Stegostoma tigrinum: one gene and its partner. The protein of the gene in region 1 purifies or fractionates together with the protein of each later gene. This does not show direct contact. Links are inferred from orthologs where the notes say so. Each region holds a gene or a part of one and is shown in the gene's direction. Other genes may lie near its edges.

Region 1 (7,231 bases):
CTAAGTGTAGCAGCTTGAGCCACCTACTGGTAACATGCCTTCTACCCTGTCCTGTGACTTTTAAATTCTAACCATGAAATCAATGAAGGTAATCATTAATAATTCTCTTTTAGATAAATAAAAATGATCTATTATCTAATAGTATTGCTTTCAGGTGGAAAATAGTTTTCCCTTTCATTGAACAGCTTTGCATGCTGGAAGGACTTGTTTTAAAACAAAGTACATAGCTCATATTTTGAAAAAAGCTTTTAAATTTTATTTGTCAGAATTTAAATGAAACCTTGTACATGTAATTCTTATTGGTTAGTGCAAGATGCTGCATTCTGCCAAATAGAGTTGAAAATATAATTGACATAACACCTACAGGCATTTTGATTCAAGTTACTGTTGGTAAACGTACTTTGAGTCGGAGTCTTTATTTAATTAAACAGTAATGAGAAGTGATTGTTAAAAATGCTTATATTTAATTTTTTTTGTCAATCAAGATGAACAGCGATGCTAACTGATATCTTGAATTCTGTAATTTTTATAGGGAAAACGTGATGGGTGCTTGATAATGGTTTTCAGATTTACGTAACTATATCTGTTGTTTAAAAATGCTTTCATGGGATATGCTGTTGGAAGATAGGCTAGTTATGTTGTAGAGGATTTAAACTCACTTGTTGGGGGAAGGGATGCCAAGTGTAAATTTGGATAGAATAAAAGCGAAGGTAGCAATGGGAAGCAGAAATGCTATAACCAACAGTGGAAAGCAGCACAAACAAATCCTAGGTTCAAATTGCACAATAGTGTAAAAAGGCAGAATTAAAAGCAGTCTACCTGAATGCATGCAACATTCTCAACAAGATAGGTGAGCTGATGGCAGTAATAGGGTTAAAAGGGTATTATTTAATTGCCATTATGAACACCACGCTGTGGGGTAATCAAACCTTGGGAGACAAATGTTAAAGGATTGTCGAACTTCAGGAGGGATGGAAGGAGGTAATGGTAGCGGTGACCATGATGGACACGCTCAGTTTTTCAGTGAGAGAAGAGCATGGCATGGAATTTTGGTTCAAGCAAGACTCAGTAAACATAAGCAGGAGTGGTTAAACAGTTTTGGTATTGTAAGGCATGGTATAAATCGAGAAATTAGAGATGCTTGGAGGCAAGGGGAAGTGTTATCAAGGGTGACTTACATCAACATGTAGACTGGATAAATCTAATAAGTGTAAAGGTTGTGGCGGAGGAATTCCTGGAATTTGTTTGGGAGGGTCTCTGGATCAATGAGTTGAGGAACCAACTCAGGCATGGGCCATTTTAGATCTAGCATTATGGAGTGAAAATGAGCAAATGATGGTGAGGCAATAGCATGGTGGTAATCATAGAATCCCCACAGTGTGGAAGCAGACCATTTGATCCATTGAGTCCACATCGACCCTCTGAAGACCAGACCACCGCTTTTCTTTATCCCTGTAATCCTGCATTTCCCATAGCTAATCCATCTAGCATATCCCCTGGACACAATGGGCAATTTAGCATGACCAATCCACCTAACCTGCATGTCTTTGTACTGTTGGAGGAAACTGGATCACCCGGAGTAAAGCCACACAGACATGGGAATGTGAAAACTCCACATAGACAGTCGCCTGAGGGTGGAATCGAACCTGGGTCTCTGCTGTGAGGCAGAAGTGCTGCCCATCTAATAATCCTGAAATAGTAATCCAGAGCCCAGGCTTATATTCTGGATTCACATCATAGTATGGCAGATAGTGGAAATCTGAAATCCACAAAAAGTGGAATTAAAATTTAGCCTAATTGTGACCTATCCAATGTTACAGAAAACATTTGGCTCATTGACGACAGTTCTGGAAAGAAGCCTGCGATCCTTACCTGATCTGGCCTACCTGAAACTCCAGATCCACTGCAGTGTACTTGACTCTGAATTGCCCTCTGAGCAATTAGGAATGGGCAATAAGTGCTGTTCTCATCAGCAGCATTCACATCTCATGTTCGGATAATTTTTTAAGATCTTGTTTTAGAAGAGCCTTCAGGGAATAGTGACCATAGTATGATTGAATTTTCAAGTAGTTCAATTTGGGTGTAGGGTCTTTAAAAATAAACCTGGACAAATTTTGAAGGTATGAGGAAGAAGTTGCATATAGTGTATTGGAAAAAATAAATTAAAAGGTTTGGCAGTAAGTAAGCCATGGTAGTATTTAAGAAATTGATGCTTGGTTTTCAAACTAGTATGTATTTTACTTTGAAGGCAAGGGTTTTCTACAGGAAAAGCAGAGCGCTAAGAAGGGAAAGATGAGCCATGAGAATTATGGATCCATTACAGGCAGAGACAGGAGAATTTATAACGGGAAATTAAGAAATAGCAAAAAAGCTAAATAATAAAGTGTGAAGCTGGATGAACACAGCAGGCCAAGCAGCATCTCGGGAGCACAAAAGCTGACGTTTCGGGCCTAGACCCTTCATCAGAGAGCTCTCTGATGAAGGGACTAGGCCCGAAAAGTCAGCTTTTATGCTCCTAAGATGCCGCTTGGCCTGCTGTGTTCATCCAGCTTCACACTTTATTATCTCGAATTCTCCAGCATCTGCAGTTCCCATTATCACTGATACAAAAAGCTAAATAAGTACTTCCCTACATCTTCACGGTAGAAGATACAAGTGGTCTTTCTGAAATAATTAAATCTAGCAATCTAGTGCAAGTGTGAAACCAAAAAACAAATAAACCTATTAGGAAAGTTGCATTGGAGAAGTTAATGGAGCTGAAAGTTGAGAAATATCCAGGACCCAACTTGAGAGTTTAAAGCCCTGGCTGGAGAAATAGTGGATACACTGGTGGTCTTCTTTCAAAATTTGATTAATTCAACAAAAGTGCCTGAAGGTTGCAAATGTAACCCCATTGTTTAAGAAAGGAGCCTAAAAAGCAGGGAACATGATGACTTGTTAGCCTGATATTAGTTGTCAGGAACATATCAGGATTGTTATAAAGGATGTGATTAGAGGATCTTTAGAAAATATTTGTCTGAGTGGATAGAGTCCAAGTGGATTTATGAAGGTGAAAACATGTTTGGCTGCCAGTTAGTGTTTTGAGGATGTTACTAGTCCATAGCATAGTCATTTATTGCAGTGAAATGAAGAACTTCTTCGCCTGGAGGTTGGTGAATCTTTAAAATTCTCTAACTGAGGGGGCTGTGGAATTTCAGTCATTAAGTTCAAAGTAGACATTTACACATTTCTAGTTACTGATGATACCAAGAGAAGTCGGAATATTGCATGAATATGGCATTGAGATAGATGATCAGCCATTATCTGGAATGATGGAACAGGTTTGAGTGCCGAATGGCCTAATCCTGTTCTTGTGTGGGTATTGTCCAATCCCTAATAGATCTCGAAGATTTTAAATACTCTGGTTGTTTGGAATGGTTATAAGCCATCAGGCATGTTTCTAGTTTAAAGCAACAAAGGATTGTTTTGAGATTTGAGTAGTAGGCAAGTTCAGTGTGGTCAACTTTGACGTATCAACCTTGTAGAAATTGTGTCTTGGATGTAACCGCTATTCTGTATTTTGAAGTTGAGCATTTTAGACTTTCTGTAAACAGTATTTTAAAAGAAAATGGGTTAAAATTGTATCTTTTGTGGTCTCTAGCCCAAATAATGGCAATTGGTGCACAAAGTAAGTTGGACATCTGTGAAAGCCCTCTACGATCTTGGGTGATCATCATTATTATATACTTTAATATCTAATAATAATGTGTGTGAGTGTTACAGATTGATTATTTATTCTGTACAAGTTAAAGAACGTGTAACCAAATGATAGTATTGAATGTTATGTGGTATGTCCCACTATCTAAATAGTTTCCAATTATCTAGACTAGTAATTCTAAAGTTTTCGCTGGAGTAAATTATCATGTGCATGTTTTTTTCTGACTTGCAGAAGTTTTACACATAAGCGTAATAATGTGCTTGAATCTTAAGTCCTGACCAGGAGTAGATTTTCAGCAGGGATCAGACTGAGAGATAATTATCAAGTGGTACCAATAGGTTTTGTGTCAAATATATGTAACAGTACTCTGCAGGGTTAATACTTGAGAATGGTGTTTAATGTTTTGTGTTGTATCATTCATAGACAGAATCTGATCATAAAATATTTAAGCAGTGTAAATCTGATTGTAACTCTGCTTAAAATTGAAAAAAATGGTTTCTTTCTGTTTGTTTTACAGTTCAATACCAAATGGAAATGATGAGAAGCTTGCGTCATGTTAACATAGACCACCTCCATGTTGGCTGGTACCAGTCAACCTACTATGGCTCTTTCGTCAGTCGAGCTTTGTTGGACTCCCAGTTTAGTTACCAACACGCAATTGAAGAGTCTGTGGTCCTCATCTATGGTCAGTGACGTTTTCCTATTCATTTCTACTTCACTGTTTACCTGGCAGTGCTGCCTGGCAGTCCCTCTCAGTAAATACCAGCCCAGTGTCTGCCTCAGCCCCAGCAGCAGCTCAGTCTAGACAGGGTTTCCTTCTTTCTGTTTATTTTTCTTGCTATCAGAGCCCTGATGTGTACATTCTGGAATGCTGAAGTTGCTGCTTCAATTTTTTTTCATTCCTCTTCCCCCTTGTTGATGGCGGGTGGAACAGGACCAGATGTCTAACAAAAACTGATTGCTTGAGTCTGGCTCAGTACGTGACCTTACAGTTATGACACATTTTGCCAGATTGCACCTCTGACAGGCGCTCACAAAACGTAGACTGTTCTTAGCACAAAGATTTTCTTTTTTCTGCCCATTTAGTGGCGTTTCCTTTACTCACTAAACCAGATGTTCTGTGCAGTATCATAGCTGTAGGTAAAACATCTTTATTGCCTTCCCCAAGCTCACTATTTGCCATAGCTGGCAGGCTGTTACAAAGTTTCCAACCGAGAAGTAAATGTTACATCCTGAATATCTGTCAGAAAAAATACTAATGAGCACGATTAATCTTTGGGTAACACAAAAATTGTTTCAGTATGTTAACAATCGGATTACAGTTGAAAAGCTGTTAAAATATACTTTATTCATTGGAATTTTTTTACCATTTCCTCCTGAATTTTCCATTTTTATCAAATTTTCTGTTCTACATAATTACTTATATGTAGGAATTTGTTTTGTTTCTCTTTCTGTACAGTTTTCCATTTATTTGAAAATATTTAATAAGTTACTTCAAGCTTGGCTAATATAATTAATATGGAACTAAAACCCATGTACCTTGAAAATGGTGCTATTGAAATGTGACTAAACCCAAATCTTTTGTCAGAAGAAAACTGCATCAGTTTCATCTCTTCAGGCACAAAATGAAATTATGTTAAGTAACTAGATTTCTCTATGCATTTTGATTGACAATATTCAGATTTTTATATCTAGGTTAAAACTACACTTGGTTTGAAATCTATCCAATGCACCCAATAAGTCAGCACAGTTTGCTAGACAAGAATAGGAGCAACAATTTTCCACACCATGCATTTTGAGTAAATAGCAAGTTAAGGAAACTGGAGTTACCACACATTACTCTTCGATAACTCCCTATAGGTCGTCTGTCTGTATTTCCTATTTCGAGAATACTGCTTACTGCTGATTGGACAAAAGCCAGATTTGTCACTTGCAAGACATTTGTAGATAATACATTCACTTTGAATGTTTGGTCGTGCGAGATTCTTCGTTTTTTTTCCACATTTTCTGGACACTATGTCATCTTTAAGCATTCCCAGGTTTGTCTGATTTTAGTACGATTTAAATAGAACTTAAAGTTCTCTTTACTCTGTCCCAGCAGTGTACCTTGCACTGCCTTCGAGTACCAGTTTTCCGTTCTCCTCAAATGTAGATGTTTGAGAATGAGAATCAGGTTCTCTTTCCCAAGGTGGTCATTTTCTTCAGATGCATTTCAGCTTATAGTTCCAGAAAATGTCTGGAGTTTGACTTGACTGATCAGTAATATAAAATGTAACACCTGGATACTTGGTATTCTACCTAAGCAACTTACTCCATCAGTGATAATGGGAACTGCAGATGCTGGAGATTCCAAGATAATAAAATGTGAGGCTGGATGAACACAGCAGGCCAAGCAGCATCTCAGGAGCACAAAAGCTGACGTTTCGGGCCTAGACCCATCAGTGCATGAGTTCATATTTAGATAAAGTTTATTTTTCCAAACAAGTATAGAGGGCTCACTGTGACGAGGTGTAGGCTCCTTTTATGCAACGTTTTTATCCATTTATGAAATGTGGATGTGGTTAGCAACACTAGTTATTGTGTGATTAAGATACTCCCAAAGTGATGTTTGTATGGGGTTACAGAGAGGTGTTCCAGGATTTGGGCTCAATAACAATGAAGAAATAGTATTTATTTTTAAGTGAGTATTGCATAAGACTTGGAAGAAAATGTGGAACCGGTGATGTCACAATGCGACTGTTGCCTTTGTAGTGATAGATTTTGACAATGATGTTGATTGAAGATGTATTGGCAAGATACTGCGTCAAGATTTTGCGCTTCAGATGTGCTGGGGGTGAAGGCAATTATATTTAAGTCATGGGTGAATGCCAGTCTTTTTGGCTATCGTTGATATTTTACTAATCAGGCATGGGGACAGTATCCTATCATGTACTGACGAGCTAATTTATGTTTATTCCTTAGCTTCACCAGAATGCATTATCTGGTTGTACTTTGTTCTGTGGAAGTAGCCTTTTGCAATTCCTGTTTTTCAAGTAAGTGTTTTGGCATGTGCTGATGTTGGAAAAGCACTATATAAATGCATCTTGCCTTTTTTGTGCCTTGTTGATAATGGACATATTTTGGGGAGACAGTATTGGCAGGCCCAGTTATCTTTCTGGTTAATGGTGTAAATTAAGGTGTTGTCGGCATTCGAATGCTGGAAATACTGCTAGATGTTGTAAGGAAATCGTTCATTCTCTTGTTGGAGATAGTCATTGTCTGTCATAGGTCCAGCATGCATGTTGCTTGCCACTTGTTAACCAAGTCTAAGTCTTGTCCTGGTCTGATTGCATTTTGGCATAATTTTACTTGTGATTTGACTAGATGAATGACATTGTTCAATTTCCAATCATCTGCAGACATCCTAATTTCTTGGTTGGGCATAGGACACTGAAGTGAAAAATACAAGCAGTGATATTCCTGGACTTGGACTGAAACATTTGGTCTGCAACCACAATCATCTTCCTTTTGTGCGAGAGTTGACTCTAGGCAGTG
Region 2 (7,802 bases), on another chromosome or scaffold:
TTACAGATACAGGGGGGTACGGTAATTACAGATACAGGGGGGTACGGTAATCACAGATACAGTGGGGTACGGTAATTACAGATACAGGGGGGTACGGTAATCACAGATACAGGGGGGTACGGTAATTACAGATACAGTGGGGTACGGTAATTACAGATACAGGGGGGTACGGTAATCACAGATACAGGGGGGTACGGTAATTACAGATACAGTGGGGTACGGTAATTACAGATACAGAGGGGTACGGTAATTACAGATACAGTGGGGTACGGTAATTACAGATACAGAGGGGTACGGTAATCACAGATACAGGGGGTACGGTAATTACAGATACAGGGGGGTACGGTAATTACAGATACAGTGGGGTACGGTAATTACAGATACAGGGGGGTACGGTAATTACAGATACAGAGGGGTACGGTAATTACAGATACAGAGGGTACGGTAATTACAGATACAGGGGGGTACGGTAATCACAGATACAGGGGGTACGGTAATTACAGATACAGGGGGTACGGTAATTACAGATACAGTGGGGGACGGTAATTACAGATACAGGGGGGGACGGTAATTGCAGATACAGGAGGGTACGGTAATTACAGATACAGAGGGTACGGTAATTACAGATACAGGGGGGGACGGTAATTGCAGATACAGGGGGGTACGGTAATTACAGATACAGAGGGTACGGTAATTACAGATACAGGGGGGTACGGTAATCACAGATACAGGGGGTACGGTAATTACAGATACAGGGGGTACGGTAATTACAGATACAGTGGGGGACGGTAATTACAGATACAGTGGGGGACGGTAATTGCAGATACAGGAGGGTACGGTAATTACAGATACAGGAGGGTACGGTAATTACAGATACAGGGGGGGACGGTAATTGCAGATACAGGAGGGTACGGTAATTACAGATACAGTGGGGGACGGTAATTACAGATACAGTGGGGGACGGTAATTGCAGATACAGGAGGGTACGGTAATTACAGATACAGGGGGGGACGGTAATTGCAGATACAGGAGGGTACGGTAATTACAGATACAGTGGGGGACGGTAATTACAGATACAGTGGGGGACGGTAATTGCAGATACAGGAGGGTACGGTAATTACAGATACAGGGGGGGACGGTAATTGCAGATACAGGAGGGTACGGTAATTACAGATACAGGGGGGTACGGTAATTACAGATACAGGGGGGTACGGTAATTACAGATACAGTGGGGTACGGTAATCACAGATACAGCACATTCTCCAAACCAGCAGTCTTAAGGAATCTGCTGAAACCACCCACTCCCGCCATTCTCCGTCCTGAGTTGAAGCTGCAGGAGGGGAACGCGAATGCTGTGGGGTTTTACACCGCAGCGTGGGAATGTGGAATTGATGTTCGAGAGTGATGACAATATGCTGGACAGGCAACACAATGAGCAGAAATAAAATGTCCTCAAGGTAACGCCAGGTCAGGCCACTGTGCAGCATGAACAAGTTGAACATAAAGACGTTTTTGCTGCACTAACGTGGTTTTCTTTGAGATTTTCTTTTCCACCCACACGTCTCCAGGAAAAGCTGGGTACGGGGGAGAGAGCCAACTATCTCATCGTGTGCGTACATGGAACAAGCTGCAACAGGATGTGACAGAGGTGGATACAAATAGTACATTTAAAAGGCATTTGGACAGGTACATGGAAAGGGAGCCAAATGCATGCAAACAGGACTAGGACAGTTTTGGAAACCAAGTCGGCATGGACAGGTTGGGATGAAGGGCCTGTTTCTGTGCTGCTATGACTCCCCTAAACATGATTCTGTGGGCAAATGCCTTACGATTGGCCTTGCTGTTTTACTGTCAAAGAAAAATACTTTAGACGCTGCAAACTTGAAATAAAAACAGAACGTTTAAATCTGGTGGTCTCTCTGGTAAGGGAAATGCAGTAAATACGTTGATTCGAGTATAATCATTTTTGAGGAAGGATTCCGAACCGTGGTCAAAACACACTTTCCAGTTTGCATCACTGCCGAAGATATAATCTGTGATTTAAGGAATGCATAGTTTCTAATCGTTACTCAACATCAATAATAAAAGCTGTTTTCAGTTTGAAATATCCGATCAATGCAGCAGATAGCGTGACCATTACATGCTCCACTGAGAAAGGCTGCAGGAACTTGCCATGTTTACTGTCATACTGATAACAACAAGACATTTCTGTTTCTTTTTAATTCTCTCTGCTCTTTGCAAGGATGCTTGCAAACCCTTATCCTTCTTGAATGCCCCAGGATCATTTAAACATGTTAAAAGATCCACAATAAATGCAACATGTTGGAAATTTTAAGAGTTTTCTTAAACAGTTCTGTGATCGGGCTTCACTTTTTGGCCTTGCAGCATCGGGAACAGAAACAGGAACAGGCCACTCATCCCGCAAGTCTGTTCTGCCATTCAGTCAGATGGTACCTGCTCTTTACCGATCATTGGTCCAGATTTACAATTACACAATATTCTATCAATCCCAGACTGAAATCTCCAACTGAAACCAGATCTCCATCTGAGTTCCAGATGTTCCCTATTCTTTGTGTGAACAGGGATGTGTTTCCTGGTTTCACTCCTAATCAAGCATATCTTCCTCAATCCAGGATCTCACAGAAATTCTCAAAATACAAGCAAAAGAACGTGGCTGCTGGAAATCTGCTTAGAACCGTAAGAAACCACGGGAAGTTGTGGGTACAGCTCACACCATCACACAAGCCAACCTCCCATTCATGAACTCCATTGACACTTCTTGTTGCCATGGAAAGGCTGTGAACGTTGTCAAAGACCCCTCCCGCCCCAGTGATAATCTCTTCTCAACCTCCTCTGTCAGGCAGAAGATAATAGCAGCTTAAACATATGTACCAACAGGTTCAAGAACTGCTTCTTCCCTGCGGTTATCAGACTGCTGAATGAACCTCTCCCATTTCAAATAATGTTAGTCTTGCTTTGCGCACCTTCTGAGCAGTATACGCTGTATGTCTCACTCTGTCTGAGCACCCTGCCATCTGTATGCATCAAAGGAGCAGCAAGGTTGACTTTTTAGGTGTGGGGCCTTCTTCAGAAGAAAGTTTTCTGAAGAAGGGTCCCGACCGGAAATGTCTTCTTTCCTGCTCCTCTGATGCTGCCTGGCTCGCAGTGTTCATCCATTTCTATACCTTGTTATCTCAGGCTCCAACATCAGCAGTTCTCACTATCTCTGTGATCTATATGTCCTTGTTTGCTATGACCTACCTGTACTGCTCGCAAAACAAAGCTTTTCACTGTACTCAGGCACATGTGACAATAAACCAAATCAAATGAAAAAGATTCTGGGTAATTCAACATGGAGGATGGGGAAAATTTGTGGCTGTAGGAGCTGCTCCTTTTGAGGTATTTTCAGTGGTGAAGATGGTTTCCTTGATTTTTTGGAGAAGTAATTACTGTCTTTTGAGCAGTCACGTTGTTTTGAAACTTTGGAAGAAAAAGTCAAAACAACAGCACTTTAAAAAGGAGGAAGGCAGACAAAGTAGAGACCACATGGGGAAGTGAAAAGAAATCAGCAGTGAACCTGCACAGCTGACTGTGTCTTTTGTTTAGTAACAAGTGTGTCTGGATAACTGAGTTCCTGAGAATAATGAAGGAACAGTGAAAGTGATGGAGACTGGTACAATTACAACATTTAAAAGGCATCTGGCTCATTATATGAATAGGAAGGGTTTGAAAGGTTGTAGGCCAAATGCTGGCAAATGGGACTAGATTAATTTAGGATATCTTGTCAGTATGGTTGAGTTGGACAAAATTAATGAGGCAGCACGTCGCTCAGTGGTCAGCACCGCAGCTTCACAGCACCAGGGACCCGGGTTCAATTCCAGCCTCGGGTGACTGTGTGGAGTTTGCACGTTCTCCCCATGTCTGCATAGGTTTCCTCCGGGTGCTCCGGTTTCCTCCCACAGTCCAAAGATGTGCAGTTTAGGTCGATTGGCTGTGCTAAATTGCCCGTAGTGTTCAGGGATGGGTCCGGGGGCGTGGGTGGATAATATTCTGAGGGTTGGTGTGGACGTGAGGGAGGCAGAGAAGGCTGGGCTGGTTTTGGGAGCCCAGCTCTTCCCCTCCACCCACTGCATCCCAAAACCAGCCCAGCCTGTCTCTGCCTCCCTAACCTCTTCTTCCTCTCACCTATCCCTTCCTCCCACCCCAAGCCACACCTCCATTTCCTACCTCCTTGACCTGTCCGTCTTCCCTGGACTGATCTATCCCCTCCCTCCCTCCCCACCTATACTCTCCTCTCCACCTATCTTCTCCTCTATCCATCTTCGGTCCGCCTCCCCCCTCTCTCCCTATTTATTCCAGTTCCCTCACCCCATCCCCCTCTCTGATGAAGGGTCTAGGCCCGAAACGTCAGCTTTTGTGCTCCTGAGATGCTGCTTGGCCTGCTGTGTTCATCCAGCCTCACATTTTATTATCTTGGATTCTCCAGCGTCTGCAGTTCCCATTATCCCTGCATCTTGTTATCTCTCATATGCCGACGGGCGCTGTTTTGTATGGTTATTCAGTCCGTCCAGCCTGCAGGTGGCGCTGTATTGGGAGGTCACTGTGTCCGCCCAGCCTGAGGGTGGCACTGTGCAGGGAGGTGTCAGTGTCTGCTCAGCCTCCGGGTGGCGCTGGTTTGGGAGGTCGCAGCCTCTGCCCAGCCTTTTGATGGCGCAGTTTTGGGAGGTCACTGCACCTGCCCAGCCTCCGGGTGGCGCTGTGTTGGGCGGTTACTGTAGCTGCCCAGCCGCCGGGTGGCGATGTTTTGGGAGGCCACCGTATCCGCCCAGCCTGCGGCCTATCTCCGGCTCTCTGGATGCGCCCGGTTCCGGTTCACTATGGATTTCGAGTGAGTGCGGGGCTTGGGCTCGGAAACCCTAGGAGAGGGTGTGAGTTACTCGCGGAGCCGCCAGTCTCTCCGTCGCTAACCGGAACGTGTTTTGTTTCTCTCTGCCCCGCAGCTCGAAGCCCAGCTGGGCCGACCAGGTGGAGGAGGAGGGAGACGAGGGTAAGGAACAGGCCTCAGGCCGGGCCCCACACGTGGGCCGGGTCCCAGCTACCGCCGCCGGGGCAGCTCCCGCTGAAAATAATCGGGATCCTGGGTCACGAGCATTACCGCCCGTCCCTTCCGGAGATTGGGGGGGGGGCGGTAGTGTGCAGCGGGAACGGGGCGTGTGTGGGGAGAGTTGGGGGTTGGGGGCGTGGGGGGGAGAGTGGGGGCGGAGGGGGAGTATGTTGGGGGGGAGAGTCGGGGGGGAGGGGGAGTATGTGGGGGGGGAGAGTCGGGGGTGGAACGGAGTATGTGGGGGGGGAGTCGGGGGGAGGGGGAGTATGTTGGGGGGGAGAGTCGGGGGGGAGGGGGAGTATGTGGGGGGGGAGAGTCGGGGGTGGAACGGAGTATGTGGGGGGGGAGAGTGGGGGCGGAGGGGGAGTATGTTGGGGGGGAGAGTCGGGGGGGAGGGGGAGTATGTGGGGGGGGAGAGTCGGGGGTGGAACGGAGTATGTGGGGGGGGAGTCGGGGGGAGGGGGAGTATGTTGGGGGGGAGAGTCGGGGGGGAGGGGGAGTATGTTGGGGGGGAGAGTCGGGGGGGAGGGGGAGTATGTTGGGGGGGAGAGTCGGGGGGGAGGGGGAGTATGTTGGGGGGGAGAGTCGGGGGGGAGGGGGAGTATGTTGGGGGGGAGAGTCGGGGGGGAGGGGGAGTATGTTGGGGGGGAGAGTCGGGGGGGAGGGGGAGTATGTGGGGGGGGGAGGGGGAGTATGTGGGGGGGAGAGTCGGGGAGGAGGGGGAGTATGTGGGGGGGAGAGTCGGGGAGGAGGGGGAGTATGTGGGGGGGAGAGTCGGGGAGGAGGGGGAGTATGTGGGGGGGAGAGTCGGGGAGGAGGGGGAGTATGTGGGGGGAGAGTCGGGGAGGAGGGGGAGTATGTGGGGGGAGAGTCGGGGAGGAGGGGGAGTATGTGGGGGGGGAGTCGGGGGGGAGGGGGAGTATGTGGGGGGGAGACGGAGTATGTGGGGGGGGAGTCGGGGGGAGGGGGAGTATGTGGGGGGGAGACGGAGTATGTGGGGGGGAGTCGGGGGGGAGGGGGAGTATGTGGGGGGGGAGAGTAGGGGGGAGGGGGAGTATGTGGGGGGGGACGGAGTATGTGGGGGGGAGTCGGGGGGGAGGGGGAGTATGTGGGGGGGAGAGTCGGGGGGGAGGGGGAGAGTCGGGGGGGGGAGAGTCGGGGGGAGGGGGAGTATGTGGGGGGGGGAGTATGTGGGGGGGGGAGTCGGGGGGGAGGGGGAGTATGTGGGGGGGGAGAGTCGGGGGGAGGGGGAGAGTCGGGGGGGAGGGGGAGTATGTGGGGGGGGAGAGTCGGGGGGGAGGGGGAGTATGTGGGGGGGGAGAGTCGGGGGGAGGGGGAGTATGTGGGGGGGGAGAGTCGGGGGGGAGGGGGAGTATGTGGGGGGGAGAGTCGGGGGGAGGGGGAGTATGTGGGGGGGGAGAGTCGGGGGGGAGTATGTGGGGGGGGAGAGTCGGGGGGGAGGGGGAGTATGTGGGGGGGGAGAGTCGGGCGGGAGGGGGAGTATGTGGGGGGGGGGAGTCGGGGGGGGAGGGGGAGTATGTGGGGGGGGAGTCGGGGGGGAGGGGGAGTATGTGGGGGGGGGAGTCGGGGGGAGGGGGAGTATGTGGGGGGGGAGTCGGGGGGGAGGGGGAGTATGTGGGGGGGGGGAGTCGGGGTGAGGGGGAGTATGTGGGGGGGGGGAGTCGGGGTGAGGGGGAGTATGTGGGGGGGGGAGTCGGGGTGAGGGGGAGTATGTGGGGGGGGGAGTCGGGGTGAGGGGGAGTATGTGGGGGGGGGAGTCGGGGTGAGGGGGAGTATGTGGGGGGGGAGTCGGGGTGAGGGGGAGTATGTGGGGGGGGGAGTCGGGGGGGAGGGGGAGTATGTGGGGGGGGAGAGTCGGGGGGGAGGGAGAGTCGGGGGGAGGGGGAGTATGTGGGGGGGGGAGGGGGAGTATGTGGGGGGGGAGAGTCGGGGGGGAGGGAGAGTCGGGGGGAGGGGGAGTATGTGGGGGGGGGAGGGGGAGTATGTGGGGGGGGGAGAGTCGGGGGGGGAGGGGGAGTATGTGGGGGGGGGAGAGTCGGGGGGGAGGGGGAGTATGTGGGGGGGGAGAGTCGGGGGGAGGGGGAGTATGTGGGGGGGGGAGGGGGAGTATGTGGGGGGGGGGAGAGTCGGGGGGGAGGGGGAGTATGTGGGGGGGGGGAGAGTCGGGGGGGAGGGGGAGTATGTGGGGGGGGGAGAGTCGGGGGGAGGGGGAGTATGTGGGGGGGGAGAGTCGGGGACGGAACGGAGAATGTGAGGGGGGGACGGAGTATGTGGGGGGGGAGTCGGGGGGAGAGATGTGGGGGAGGGGGGAGTATGTTGGGGGGAGGGGGAGTATGTTGGGGGGGAGAGTGGGGGGAGAGGAGTAGTATGTTGGGGTGGAGAGTGGGGGGAGAGGAGTAGTATGTTGGGGGGGAGAGTCGGGGCAGGAGGGTGAGTATGTGGGGGGGAGAGTCGGGGGGGAGGGGGAGTATGTGGGGGGGGAGAGTCGGGGGGGAGGGGGAGTATGTGGGAGGGGAGAGTCGGGGGCGGAACGGAGAATGTGGGGGGGAGTCGGGGGGAGGGGGAGTATGTGGGGGGAGGACGGAGTATGTGGGGGGGAGTATGTGAGGGGGGACGGAGTATGTCGGGGGGAGAGATGTGGGGGAGGGGGAGTATGTTGGGGGGAGGGGGAGTATGT

The links. The genes of interacting proteins can lie anywhere in the genome.
Region 2: the proteins of eif3hb (region 1) and eif3g purify together in Homo sapiens (affinity purification with mass spectrometry; 8 studies listed by BioGRID and IntAct, counting the BioPlex papers as one, with this or other methods). This does not show direct contact. The link is inferred for Stegostoma tigrinum from reciprocal best matches to the Homo sapiens genes EIF3H and EIF3G.

The regions. Positions count from the first base shown.
Region 1 is NC_081358.1:13,622,882-13,630,112, forward strand, and holds the start of eif3hb (eukaryotic translation initiation factor 3 subunit H-B), read left to right. Parts: upstream 1-4,219; 5' UTR 4,220-4,225; coding exon 4,226-4,382; intron 4,383-7,231.
Region 2 is NC_081388.1:22,375,185-22,382,986, reverse strand, and holds the start of eif3g (eukaryotic translation initiation factor 3 subunit G), read left to right. Parts: upstream 1-4,786; 5' UTR 4,787-4,799; coding exon 4,800-4,888; intron 4,889-5,000; coding exon 5,001-5,047; intron 5,048-7,802. UniProt on the Homo sapiens protein: RNA-binding component of the eukaryotic translation initiation factor 3 (eIF-3) complex, which is required for several steps in the initiation of protein synthesis.